2 linked regions of the Coturnix japonica genome follow. The protein of the gene in region 1 interacts with the protein of each later gene in a biochemical or structural test. Links are inferred from orthologs where the notes say so. Each region holds a gene or a part of one and is shown on either strand. Other genes may lie near its edges.

The links. The genes of interacting proteins can lie anywhere in the genome.
Region 2: the proteins of FCHO2 (region 1) and DAB2 form a complex in vitro, tested with the Homo sapiens proteins (2 studies listed by BioGRID). The link is inferred for Coturnix japonica from reciprocal best matches to the Homo sapiens genes FCHO2 and DAB2.

The regions. Positions count from the first base shown.
Region 1 is NC_029547.1:22,818,968-22,825,776, forward strand, and holds the start of FCHO2 (F-BAR domain only protein 2), read right to left. Parts: upstream 3,966-6,809; coding exon 3,933-3,965; coding exon of another isoform or gene 3,640-3,932; exon of another isoform or gene 3,302-3,639; intron 1-3,301. Other genes in the region: serine/arginine repetitive matrix protein 1-like, read left to right, coding at 3,640-4,145, 4,333-4,372. UniProt on the Homo sapiens protein: Functions in an early step of clathrin-mediated endocytosis. Has both a membrane binding/bending activity and the ability to recruit proteins essential to the formation of functional clathrin-coated pits.
Region 2 is NC_029547.1:11,302,380-11,308,590, reverse strand, and holds part of DAB2 (disabled homolog 2), read left to right. Parts: intron 1-185; coding exon 186-272; intron 273-496; coding exon 497-520; intron 521-779; coding exon 780-827; intron 828-998; coding exon 999-1,061; intron 1,062-2,081; coding exon 2,082-2,720; intron 2,721-3,557; coding exon 3,558-3,711; intron 3,712-4,217; coding exon 4,218-4,733; intron 4,734-4,980; coding exon 4,981-5,072; intron 5,073-6,089; coding exon 6,090-6,149; 3' UTR 6,150-6,154; intron 6,155-6,211. UniProt on the Homo sapiens protein: Adapter protein that functions as a clathrin-associated sorting protein (CLASP) required for clathrin-mediated endocytosis of selected cargo proteins.

The DNA of each region.
Region 1 (6,809 bases):
CTGAGAAGTTTGAACACCAAAGCGACCTGGCAATTGCAATTCCATTCTTCTAGTTTCAGTAAATCACATGAAAACCAGCTCCAGGAAAGCTCTCAGCATATGACAGGGGTAATTAAAAATACTTCCAGGACAAAAAAACAGAGAACTGCCAACTCATGCTAAATATACAGAGAGGGAGGAGACTGCACCAATACCGCACAGCCACGCTCCCGAAAACTGAGCATCCAACTGCAAGCCAAGCACAAACATGTGAATGGGACTGTGGATGGAAGCTCGACAAGTCTCGGTATCAATCACAGCCTGTAGGTGCACAAGAAAATACATCCTACTTTTATTAGAGCAACACCCTTCACAAAGCTGAGATCACTAATCCTGCATGCAGCCAGCCCTCACACACTGCAAGAATCCTGAGAAAAAGAGAAAAAAAAATTAAAAAAAAAAAAAAAAAAAAAAAAAAAAAAAGGAAATTTCCCCCTCACATTCACTCTCAGAAGCTGTGGGTAACACAGGCAATTGAAAAAAGTACCATAAGGAGAATGTCAAAGCCAATTTTAACATGTATTTTTGTGCCACAAAGCTTCCTGAAAATTGAACATGCACAGCATTACATGGAGACCAGCTTCAGCTGCACATAAAGCTTCTAAAAGTTTAATCAATTTAAAGCAATTAGTGGATATGTATGACTGGCTTAGATATGGCTTATTTTGGTTAACCTGAAATGGTTTAATAGTCTCACCATTAGTAAGAGTACAGTCTGCATCAGGTGACTTAAAATCAAACTTACGTTGAAGCTCGTGCTTCACTTCCTACATCGTGCTAAGAAAACAGCAGTTCAGTTCTAACAAATGCCTTTTGTTCTCTGATACCAGCATTTAAGGGTATTCAAAGTGACAAAACCTAGTTATTCATAATGGAAATATTGCAGGATTCCCTCCATGTTACAGCACTGTTTTGATACAGCACATACTCAGCAGCAAGCACCCAACGTTTTATGACAACATCCTAATTAGGAGCTGGGAATGTTTGGCCATGTGACTTGAATGCCTGAAACTCAGTCATAAGAATTGAAGCCATTTATAGCCCGTACTACTCATTTATAATTTCTGATACCACAAACAAATTAGCCTTCCCAATCCCTCAAACTGAACCAAACTGACCTGAAAAACGCAGTGTGCAGCACTCTGCACACACAGCCCTTACAGCAACAGTACAGGCCTCTGAGCCCCACATCCTGACAACCACAGAATCATAGAATTACCCAGGTTGGAAAAGGCCTTGAAGATCATCAAGTCCCTCTCAATGACCAAAATCACCTCCCAATGACCAGCAGTCACCTGCAGCCAGCAAGCGACAGGCCCAAAAACACCACAGAGAAAACACATTTTCCTCATGTTTTCTGCTAAAAATAAAATTACATCTACTCATCTGCTTTTAAAAGTAGTGCACACATGCAAGTCCTAGAAAGGCTTGGGTTGGAAGGGACCTTGGAGTATCATCTTGTTCCAACCTTGTGCTGTGGGCAGAGAAGCATGGAAGTCCAATGATAACCTTCCTTTACAGTAAATATATTGTTTTGTTTTTTGTTTTTAGTTTAAATGAGCACATTTGTAGCGAATTCTTATAAGACAGCAGCTAAACACTGTGCAAGAAACATACACATTCACACAGCACTCCAGTTTTTCAAATAAATCACTTCAGGTTTCCTTTGTCTATATCTATCAAAAACTTAAAGAAACAGAGAGAGCTTTCCAAAGCACAAGACCCAGATCTCCATTTCTTATTGTACCATTTCATCTGTGAACTGCTGACAACGCGTGCATTATATAATTAAGAATTTCCCTCCATACTCAGTTCTGGTGAGGACACAACTCAAGCACCGTGTTCAGTTTTGGGCCCCTCACTACAAGAACATGTTCAGGCCCTGGAGTGTGACCAGTGAAGGGCAATGAAGCTGGTGAGGGGTTTGGAGCACAAGTGTTATGAGGAACAGCTGAGGGAACCAGGATTGTTCAGTCTGGAGGCGGCTGACAGGAGATCTTATTGCTGTCTAAGCCGATGGGTTGTGGTGATGTGGGGGTTGGAATGTTCTCCTGTGCAACTAGCAATAGCACTAGAGGAAATGGCCTCAAGTTGAGCCAGGTGAGGTTCAGGTTGGATATTAAGAATAAACTTCTCCTCAGAGTGGCAAAGCATTCCAACAGGCTGCCCCGGGCATGCAAGGATTGTGCAGATGTAGCACTGACAGACATGGTAGGGATGAGTTGGTGGACAACCTCAGTGGTCTTTCCCACCCTTATTGAATCTACGATCCTACAATGCTTTGGATGTACTTCACATCAGTGCTTTAGGAAACATAATATTCCACTACATCGGTGACCAAACCAGCAAAAAAGAAAGTAAAATAGTTTACATGGCATTACCTAGAAGGCCAAGGAAAAACCAAAAGCCTGATGACAGTTCTTCCAGAGTTCAATGTAGAACTCTTTGTATTTATGGATTCTTCTCTGTTGTATTTTGTCACTGTCCACTCAGTGCAATTTAACATCTCTTCCTTTCCATGTCCAACCTTTTCACCATGTTAAAACACACTCAGATCATGCTAAAGATCTTCCAAAACACTGCAGTAACAATTCCGAACAATAACCCATTCCAAAAAGATAGACAGAGGCTTCATAAGGCAGACAGACAAGGGGAAACTTTGAGCAGATGTCACCTGCCTTGAATTTGCTGGCAGCATTTGCAAAGGTACGAAGAACACAGAAATACGTATGTATGGGAATGGCACCATCTTCACTGGTTTAACACAACTGCTTACTGCCCAACTGAGCCATTGCCAATGAAACAGTTCAAAGATTAAAAACCTGAAATTCATGGCATAAACTTTATTTCAGCGGAGAGAACAGAATATAAATGCGTGGTTTATTCTCTTTTCATCTGAAAAGCTGACTTTTTACACTAACTTGAATATTACTTTTGCCCAAGATGGAAACAAGCCACATATTTGTTTCCTATTCATCTTCCACACCAGAACTCACACACCAAAACCTAGCAGGCTCGTATACCGAGGGAGCACATGGTGGATCCTTTCATAGAATTTTAATACCTCACCCAAAACAAAACTGGAGAGTCGGAATTAAACAACTCTACAAACAAAACACGAGGCCAGGCTGCAGCTCTGCTTTATTTCCTCGCAGCGCACACTCTGTGAAGTCAACACTCTCCAAACACTAAGAATAACCATTATTTATGCAGAACCAGATGGATCTACGAGATTTTTCTTTTTTTTTTTTTTTTGTCTCGACAAATATTTGCTGTGACGTTTCCCCCACCCGTCAGCAGAGACGCACGGTAAAATCCTACGCACCGCGGAGCAGCAGCAGCACCGGGTTGTGGGCTTACGAGAACGGCGGCTGCGATGTTTCAGACCCGTTCCACGAGGGATTCGGGTTGACCGAGCTCCGAAGGAAGGCTCGGCAACAATCCCAATTCATCCCTTAACGTTTATCTCCGCGTTTTCCCCACGGAAGCGCCCCCACAGCCCTGACTACACAGACGGAGTAAGTGACAAACGGCGTCACACGCAGGGCCGCCCGCTGCCCGCCGTCCCTCCGGACACGCCGGTACAAAGGCAGCAGGCGGATGAAGGCGCGTATTGTCCGGAACCAACGGCGAGGACGGACATTGGAGCCGGGGCCGCCGCCTGGGGTCTCCCGTACGGCCCCACCTGGCAGCCCCCGAGAAGGAGCTCGGCACGGCTCGGTACAGCACAGCACGGCTCGGCTCGGCCCGGCCCGCTCTCCAGGCCCGACCACCGTCCCCGGGGCAGCCCCGCAGCCCAGCCCGCCGCGGCAGCACACACCCCGCCCGCCTCCCACCGTAGCCGTGCTCTCCCACCCGCTTCGCCGCGGTAACGCTTGTCGGCGCTGCCCTACCCAGAAGCTCTCCACGAAGTACGCCATCATCATCCCGCCGTCGCCGCCCCGGCCCCAGCTCGCCCGGCCCGGCCCCAACCGCCGAGACGCGACGGAGGAAGCAGCCGCCGCCGCCACGCGCCGCCCTTCCCGTCACGGCGCACCGCCTCCCTCCACACGGCGGCTCCGCCCAACGCGCGGCCGGATGGGCCGTCAGAGCCCGGGACGGGTACGGTGCGTAGCGTGCGCATGTGTAGAATGCGGTGCTGGGTAAGGGTCGGGCTGAGTAACGTGAGGCGTGGAGGGCGGTGTTTCTCTGAGAGATCCATAGCAGGGTGCTGACTGCAGGACCTAATGCTGACACTGAAAGCACATAAAAGCTTTGCAAAAATATTGCTTACAGTTCTTATCTCTTCCCTAGGTTTACAGTGGTTGCTACAGAAGGATGCTGGCTTGGTTAGCTGCTGTCCCGGTACAATTGTTTCTTTGTTCCTATAGCCTAATGGGAGTGGACAGAAAGGAATGCTATTCTGATAGCTGTGACTATATGTGAGTGTTTCAGAATAAAACAAATATCCCCACTGCGTGCCAGCACAAGCTCTCATGGAAGATTCAAGTAATTTCCTGGATTAATATTATAAATGCAGGGATAGGGAGGTGATTGTCCCTCTCTACTCGGCTCTTGTGAGGCCCCATCTGGAGTACTGTGTCCAGGTGTGGAGCCCTCAGTACCAGAAAGACATGGAGATTTTGGAAAGGGTCCAGAGGAGGGACACGAAAATGATCAGGGGGCTGGAGCACCTCCCCTATGAGGACAGGCTGAGGGAGTTGGGTTTGTTCAGCCTAGAGAAGAGAAGGTTGCGGGGTGACCTCATTGCAGCCTTTCAATACCTGAAGGGAACTTACTCCCAGGAGGGGAGTAAACGCTTCTAAAGGGCTGACAATAGCAGGACATGGGGAAATGGTTTTAAGTTAAAAGAGGGAAGATTTAGGTTGGATGTTAGGGGGAAGTTCTTCACTAGGAGAGTGGTTAGGCCCTGGAACAGGCTGCCCAGGGAGGTTGTGGATGCCCCGTCCTTGGAGGTGTTCAAGACCAGGTTGGACGGGGCCCTGGGCAACCTGATCTAGTAAAGGTGTATGTTTGGTGGCCCTGCCAGGCAGGGGGGTTGGAACTACATGATCCTTGAGGTCCCTTCCAACCCGGGTCATTCTGTGATTCTGTGATTCTGTAATGCATTTATACTTCAGAGTATAAAAAGCACTTTCTCTCTCATCTATGTCATCTACATAAACTTGGAGTACCATAACCATGTGCCTCACAGTAGAAACATGAAGAGGCAAGCAGATTTCTTGGCTACAAGGCAGCCCACGATGGGGATGGATCACTAGACTGAGGCCAATGGGATGAAGTTCAGCAAGACCAAGTGCCAGGTCCCACACTCTGGGCATAGCAAAGCCCAGCAATGCTGCAGGCTTGAGGCAGAACGACTGGGAGACTGTGCTGAAAAATGCACCTGGGGGTGTTGGTTGATGCTCGGCAGAACACGAGTCAGCAGCATGCCCAGGTGGCCAAGAGGGCCAATGGCATCCTGAATTGTATCAAAAATAGTGTTGCCAGCAGAAGCAGAGAAGTGTTCATCCCTCTGCACTCAGTGAGGCCGCACCTCGAGTACTATGTTCAGTTTTGTGCCCCTCACTACAAGACATGGAGGCCTTGGAGCATGTTCAGAGAAGGGCAACACACTATATTAGCTAAGACTTACTGGAAGAACTTTCAAGTTACAATACCAAAGGTACAATGCATCTAGACTACAGGTCTGAATATAACTGAAAAACAAAAGTTAGGTATTGCATTCTACCATGGAAGCTAAGCTAATTTGCTTCATGTTTTAACCATTTGAAAATCAATTATGAATTCCAACCAGAATAACCACACACCGTTATTGGGTATACCCCCTTTTTTACCACCCTAGCAGAGAACAACAGACAAGGAAAGAGGAAGAAAGTGAATTGCTAGGAGTCTCATGGATCATTTAACTGTGGTAAGAATTAAGTTATGTTGTGGGGCTTTAAAATCAGCAGGACTGTATTCTAGCCACACAGTTGTACCTGCCTGGCTGCAGACACTACCTGGTAGCTTAATAATTCACTTGCTTATGACCTAACTGCTGGAGACATATTGCAGCATGGGTTTGGTTTTTTGTTTTTTGTTATTATTATTATTATTATTATTATTTTTAGTACAAAAACTGCAATGAAATGAGCGATCACAGGTGAGATAATGGCACAGATTCCAGTTCTGGGCAGAGTGGAATTTCTATTATTTCTGAACTTAAGAAGAGTTGTGCATGCGCAGCTGTAGATAATCACATTTATTACGACAAGAAATCAACTGAATATTAGTTTGTTTTTTCCAGCTTCTGGTAAAGGCTCTTTCAAACCTAATAATGACTTTTTGTACTCTCTTGAACCATTCGCTAGCAAGTTTCAGCTGTACTGCTTTCAGCATCCCTGGAATGTATTCCATTAGGCTGCATCATCTGACTCACTGTATACTTGAAAGTGCACCTCTATTGATTTAGTCACCATGCTTGATCACATCCCATTCATTATTTCAATTACTTGAATTAAGAACCCAACAGCATTGTTTCAGAGTGAGTCACTGAGTACCAATACTCCACCTTTATTAGTCTTCTGCTTGCATTACCAAAATCTTGTTTCATCAAATCAGCTAAGTCTGATGGAAGGATTACAGTTCAGAGGCTGTACATTTCATTTTGAATCTCTCCAGAAAGTCTTCAGCCCTGAATGAAAAATTCCAATTGATTTATAATATATTGAAGAGATGCATTACTACAGACTCACCGTACCAAGTTTTCCCATCTACACTCTCTGCAG
Region 2 (6,211 bases), about 12 Mb from region 1:
GCTGATGGTATGCTGTCACCCCAGAAATCTATGTAATAGAACTTAGACCAGGCAGTCTTTGAAGTCTTGCTTTTCCTGGTATCTCAACTATACTATTGCATCACTTAGGAAAGTTTGACTTGCAGTTTTCTGGGCTTCTACTGAAGCTGAAAACAAACTAATTTGTGGTCTAAATTTTTTTTCAGGCTGAGCCTCTAGTTGTTGATCTTAAGGACCTCTTCCAACTAATATATAACATGAAGAAGAAGGAAGAAGAAGAAGACAAGAAAAAGGCAAGTAAAATTACAGCTGCAACAGTCTGCATAGACTTAAGTTTTGTTTTAGTTTTGTCTGGGCTTCTAGACCACTGTGAGATTTGAAAGTGTCATGGCACAGTATTGGCTAGCAGTTGTGCCAGCAGTTTCATTACTAGATTTAGGAGGTAAACTAACTAAAGCCTCTTGCATTCATTATTCTACCCAATGTGTAGATACTAAAAGTTTGTTTTCTTCTTTAGAATGAAGAAGCAAACAAGACTCAGGTAAGTCACTCTAATTCATCACTTGATCAGTATTCTGCTGTGATAGAACTAGCTCTGTCTTTCCTTATACTGCTAGCATATGGTGGAATCATGAGATGCTTGTTACACTGGAAATTGAGACAAATGTGTCTACAGAACTAATAGTAGTGATCTCCCATACTTTCTCTTTTATATCATTTGCTTGCTCAAGCATGTGAGTTCATTGTTTAAGGGAGGTTTTGTTATTCTTATCACTGACACTGTTGTCCATCTATTCCAGAATGGTAGTGAGGCACTACCTGCTGGTCAAGCTGACAAATTGAAAATGGTAGGTTCAATTTTAGAACTTTATCCTGATGTCATTAAAGTTCATAGTAGACTATCTCCATGTGATACAGGAAATACAAGTTTTATATATGTTCAGTAGGAATGTGTAATACTTGGATTTTGCTTTCGCAACAACTCTGACACCAATTTTTTCAATACTTTTGGCTTCAAGGGAGTTGACCAGATGGACTTGTTTGGGGATATGTCAACACCTCCTGATGTGAGCAGTCCCACAGTAAGTAGACTTCTGCTTTACTTATCTCACTTCTATGTTCAAGAGCAAACTTTTTCTGAGTAGTAAGATCTATTCTGTTCTGGTTTTACAGAAGCTTCTTCCTTATTATAGAAACATACTGGAAACTTAGAGCTATGATAGTAGGAACTTACTAAATAGACTAGCTAATATTCTTATCCAGCAGTATTCACTATGGACAGTGTGTGACAGAGACTGTGTGACAGAGATATTATATACTGTTATGTTGTTAGCCATAGGCCAAATAAATATGTACTAGTAGCATATACCTGTGCTGTAAGTAGCAAGATAGGAACTCAGTTAACAATCTTTAAAGTTGAAGCTTATTTTATGGATGAGTAAGTAAGTTCCAAGTAGACTTGTAGCTATTACAAATGTAAGCTAGGTCCATAAAATAGGGCCTAACTTCATTGAAGTATGCATTTACCTTGTAACAACTCATTGTGACTTCAAAACTGTACTAGTTTGCTCTGGAATAAAAAGCTATAAGCAGTCATGCAACAATTGATGTTGCAATAGATGTCAACAGAGCTAGTGACTAGTCTTACTCTTCTGTCACCTGCTTTGGTGGATAGTGTGTTAACCTTCTCCACCTGCAGATTGCTTTGTAATCTTACTCCAAAGCTGAGATTGCAACTTGGAATCACTCTAAAGCAACATGATTTTACAATTGTTTTAAAAAAGGACTAAAACCCAGGCTGTCACTGGAGTCAAGCTCACCTGGGTGTAATTAGTGCAAATGACTAAAACTTCTCTTAAGTCCAGTTAAATGAAGAGATCTTGAAACTGGTGTTTTCAACAGTGAATGTTTTGAACTAAGTAGCTGAGACTTGATTACAGCTACCAGGCTTACAAAATGGGACCATAATTTGACACCAAATACGTATTAGTACGATGTGCTGGATACCAGATCTCTCCTTTTCTAGAAGTTTTCCTTAAGCTTGTGTACTTTGCAGTAGGTCATACAGAAAACTAACTTTACTTTTCTTTCTGAACAAATAGGAAGCTAAAGAGATTCTCTTAGTGGATCTAAACTCAGAAATTGAGACCAAACAGACTTTTGTAAAAGAGGATCTCTTCTTGAATGGCATCACACCTTCTCTTCCGCAACCAACGCCACGGCCACCTCTCTTCTTGCCAGAGGGTTCTTTCTCTACCAATCTCAGCTTCTTTCCCACACCTAATCCAGACCCTTTCAGTGATGATCCTTTTGCACAACCAGACCAATCTGCACCACCTTCATTTGATTCTCTAAAATCTGCTGATCAGAAGAAGGAAAATCTGAGTACCTTAACATCGGTGGGTAATGGTGCTTCAAATGGTGATGTTGACTACTTTGGTAAACAGTTTGACCAGATATCTAATAGAGTTGGCAGACGAGAAGCACAGACAAGCCAGTGGCCATTTGACAGTAAGCCACCCGCAGCAAGAACTCCAAATGGGGTACCAGAGAGAGAACAGAATGGCTTTCTTAAAGCTCCATCAAACCTCTTTGTGGAAGATCCTTCCAAAGGAGTAACTCTGCAAAATGGAGTAAAGCTGGATTCTGAAAACAATATCCAGCTCTTGTCACACGAATCTATTACAATTAGCCCACCACCACAAAGTAACAAGCCAGGAAGAGGAAGGAGGTCTGTCAAGGTGAACAATGTTCCAGTAATTAATGGTGATATGCATGCTCTTACTTAGAGAATCTGGGTGAAGGAAGCTTTACTTTCTTCATTCTACGTAACTGACTAAAGAGCTCCACAGCATATCTCTTCCACCTGCCATGCTTACTCTAACCTCTCTGCAGTCATGGTAAATCCTAACACTCATGAATGCTCCATAGTAGCTATGATTACTAAACATATGTTCTTTTCCTTAATGCTGCCATACTTCTGTAAAGGTCTGGTAAGTATACTACCGTGAAATACTGATGCTAGGTACAATGCCAGTAGCTGTTATGATAGCTATGATAAATACACATCACCTTGTGGCTTCTTAACAATGAGTTACCAATACTAGTTTACAGAATTTGAAGTGGCTTCACTGTACCTGCCTACGGAGGGCAATCTCAATGACTGGCCTGGTCATACACAGGGTGGCTCTGGGTTAATCTCTTGCAGTCAAGTGATGCAGAACTCCGTTGATGACCTTGTCATAACTTCAGAGGTCATTATAGTCTGGGCAGGAGTATTTATTTGTGAGAAGAGGAATCTCATTAGGATAACAAGCAATTCAGTTATTCCAAGTCTTGCTCTTCTGCTGTTGACCTGGAATTACTATATATTATACAATGCCAAGTTTATCAGTAGGCATAAACTGGTGAAGTTTGAATCACTTATACAGAGTACCTACAGAATACAATAAAGCTTCATGCTCTGCTATAGCTAAACTAACAGCTTGTAGCTCCAGACTAAGACTTCTTAACCATGTTAGTTTATATTCTGCTATGTCATTTCACAACAAGTTTGGTTGTTTTTTTTTTCTTTCTAGGCTGCCTCAAGTGACTTGTTTAGCTCAGACTTTTTTGCACCAACTACAGAGAACCTTGGTGTAAATTCATCAGCACAGACAGGACTGGTGCAAACTAATCGACTGGACCTCTTCAAAACAAATCCTACCACAGCCCCTCCATTAGCTGGCCTAGGTTAGTTCACAACCTATATCTTAAATTCAAACTATTACTCCAATCTAAACCCACCATGGATGCTCTAATTACCTTTTGCTTAATCCGTGTGCTGTCCATCATAAACTATTAAATTCTGTGAATTGGGGACCTAAATTCTGCATCTTCAACTAGAGCAGGGCTTTTTGCTTAAACTTTGACAACAAATCCAGGTTGTACCAGGACGCTAATGTGCGTGTCACAGCTTGAGAAGCTAGGGTACCACTGTTGCAGGATCTTAACTACTTACATGGAAGTAACTATCAACCTCATTTCTGTTCTTTAAGGACTGACATGAAGTGAAGGAAACAATACTAAACCCTTTTTCAAAGGCTACCTTCCTCAGTGGCATTACGTTAAGCGTAAATCAGTGGATTTTTACAAACAGCACATGAAGAATGCCTTTCTGTTATCAACAATGGAATTGGTGCACTTATTCTTGATCTTGACATCACTGAAGCACTGTGTAACAATCATGTTCCCCACAGGTGGCTTGCCATCATCATGGAGTACAGAGATGCCTGCCTTCACCCAGGCCACATCGGTCTTTCCTGGGTCTATGATGCCTACCCAGTCTGCAGGATTTACTCAACAACTTAGCTTTGGCCCTCAAGCAGTGACAAGCTGGAGTCAGCCTGGATCTTTTGGTCCAACAGCATCTCAGTCCTCTGGTATCTGGGTCCAGCCAGCACAAGTTCCACCTGCTCGATGGGTACAGCCATCCAGCACTGTAAATCCCTTCCAGAGTAATGTGTTTGCATCTTCAATGCTACCCACTCAGACAGAGTCTGTATTGCCCTCTGCGCCAACAACAAGCCCACCTCAGCCACCACCTAGAACTGCACTTCAGAAGGAGCTATCCAAGAAAGAAAGTGATGCTTTTATTGCTCTGGATCCACTTGGGGATAGAGAGATGAAAGACGTCAAGGAAATGTTCAAAGATTTCCAGCTGACAAAGCCACCTGCAGTACCAGCAAGGAGAGGAGAGCAGCAAAGTCTTTCAGGTGCCTCCAGAGCTTTCAGCATTTTTTTTTTTTATTAAAGTACCCATTCCTCAAGATAGTACAGGTCATAGGGATGTGAAACTTAGCAAGCTGTCCAAAAAGACTGGTAAAATTTTTCTTGTATTTGAATAGCCACTTGCTTATTCATTTTGAATATAATTGGTTGAACTTTAAGGTCAGTATGCTGATAGTGCTTAGCACACATAAAAGCTGTTTAGTGATATAACAGAATGTCTCTTCTTCCTAGAACCACTGAAGCCTGTTCCCAGACAAAGTGCACTACCGATTGATGTCCTGTTTGAAAGCCAACCTAAACCAGACCTTTTCAGTGCCTCCTCTGTAAGTAATAGATGTTTTCTCTATGACTGTTACAGCACCCCACCAATAGCAATATTTGTGTTGATGCAGTGGCTTTAGAGAACGTGGGGAAAAAACAGTCTTGCATACTTGATCTAACTAAACACTTGTTGCAAGAAAGCTAACAAAGCGTTATTCCATTTGGTTTAATTCTAAAACCAGTGCTCCAAGCTGTAAAGCCTCTCTACAAGTACTTTGTTTCTATATGTGGGAAGTTTCTACAAAGGACTGTGAAGTAATGGAGAAGCGGAAGACTTCTGCAGCTATGCTTACTTCTCTGCAGAGTACATAGAGCAGTGTTGACTGTGCAGGTCTTTTGCTGAACAAATACTAGACCCTATGTCCAGTATCCTCTTGGGGGAGGAAGTGGTCTATGGAGACCTCATTGTGGTCTTCTAGAAGGGAGGGAGCCTATAAACAGGGAACCTATAAACAGGATGGAGAATGACTGTTTACATGGGTTGATAGCGATAGGACAAGGGGGAATGGTTTTAAACTGAGACAGGGGAGGTTTGGGTTAGATATTAGGAGGAAGTTTTTTAACCAGAGCTGGTGATGCACTGGAACAGGTCACCCAAGGAGGTTATGGATATCCCATCGCTGGAGGCATTCAAGGCCAGGTTGGACATGGCTCTGGGCAGCCTTGTCTGGTGGTTGGAAACCCTGCACATAGCAGGGGTGGTTGAAACTAGATGAGCATTGTGGTCCTTTTCAACCTGGGCCATTCTATGATGATTCTATGATTCATTATAGATACACTAACTTGTCTCCAAATACACATGGCTTTTCCAAAGGATACCTTACCTCAAACTAATGTGAGTACTAAGGCAGATTTAGATCTCCCTTTATGCTCCTTGAAGCATGGCAGCTAATACCTGTTTAGCCAGTGCTTTTCAGTATTCTTTCCAGAAGGAGTTTGAAATCAAAACCAGCTGAAATAACCATGAAGAATAAAAATTGAAAAATGTTTAATGACTGATTTATTACTTTTCTTGGTAGGAATCTCAGAAACAACCTTCTGGCCCATTTGGTGGTCCTTCTGGCAACCCTTTTGCATAGACCAGGTAATATTTATTGAGACAAACTACTTCATGCTCTGAAATAGTTTTCAACTAGCTCTT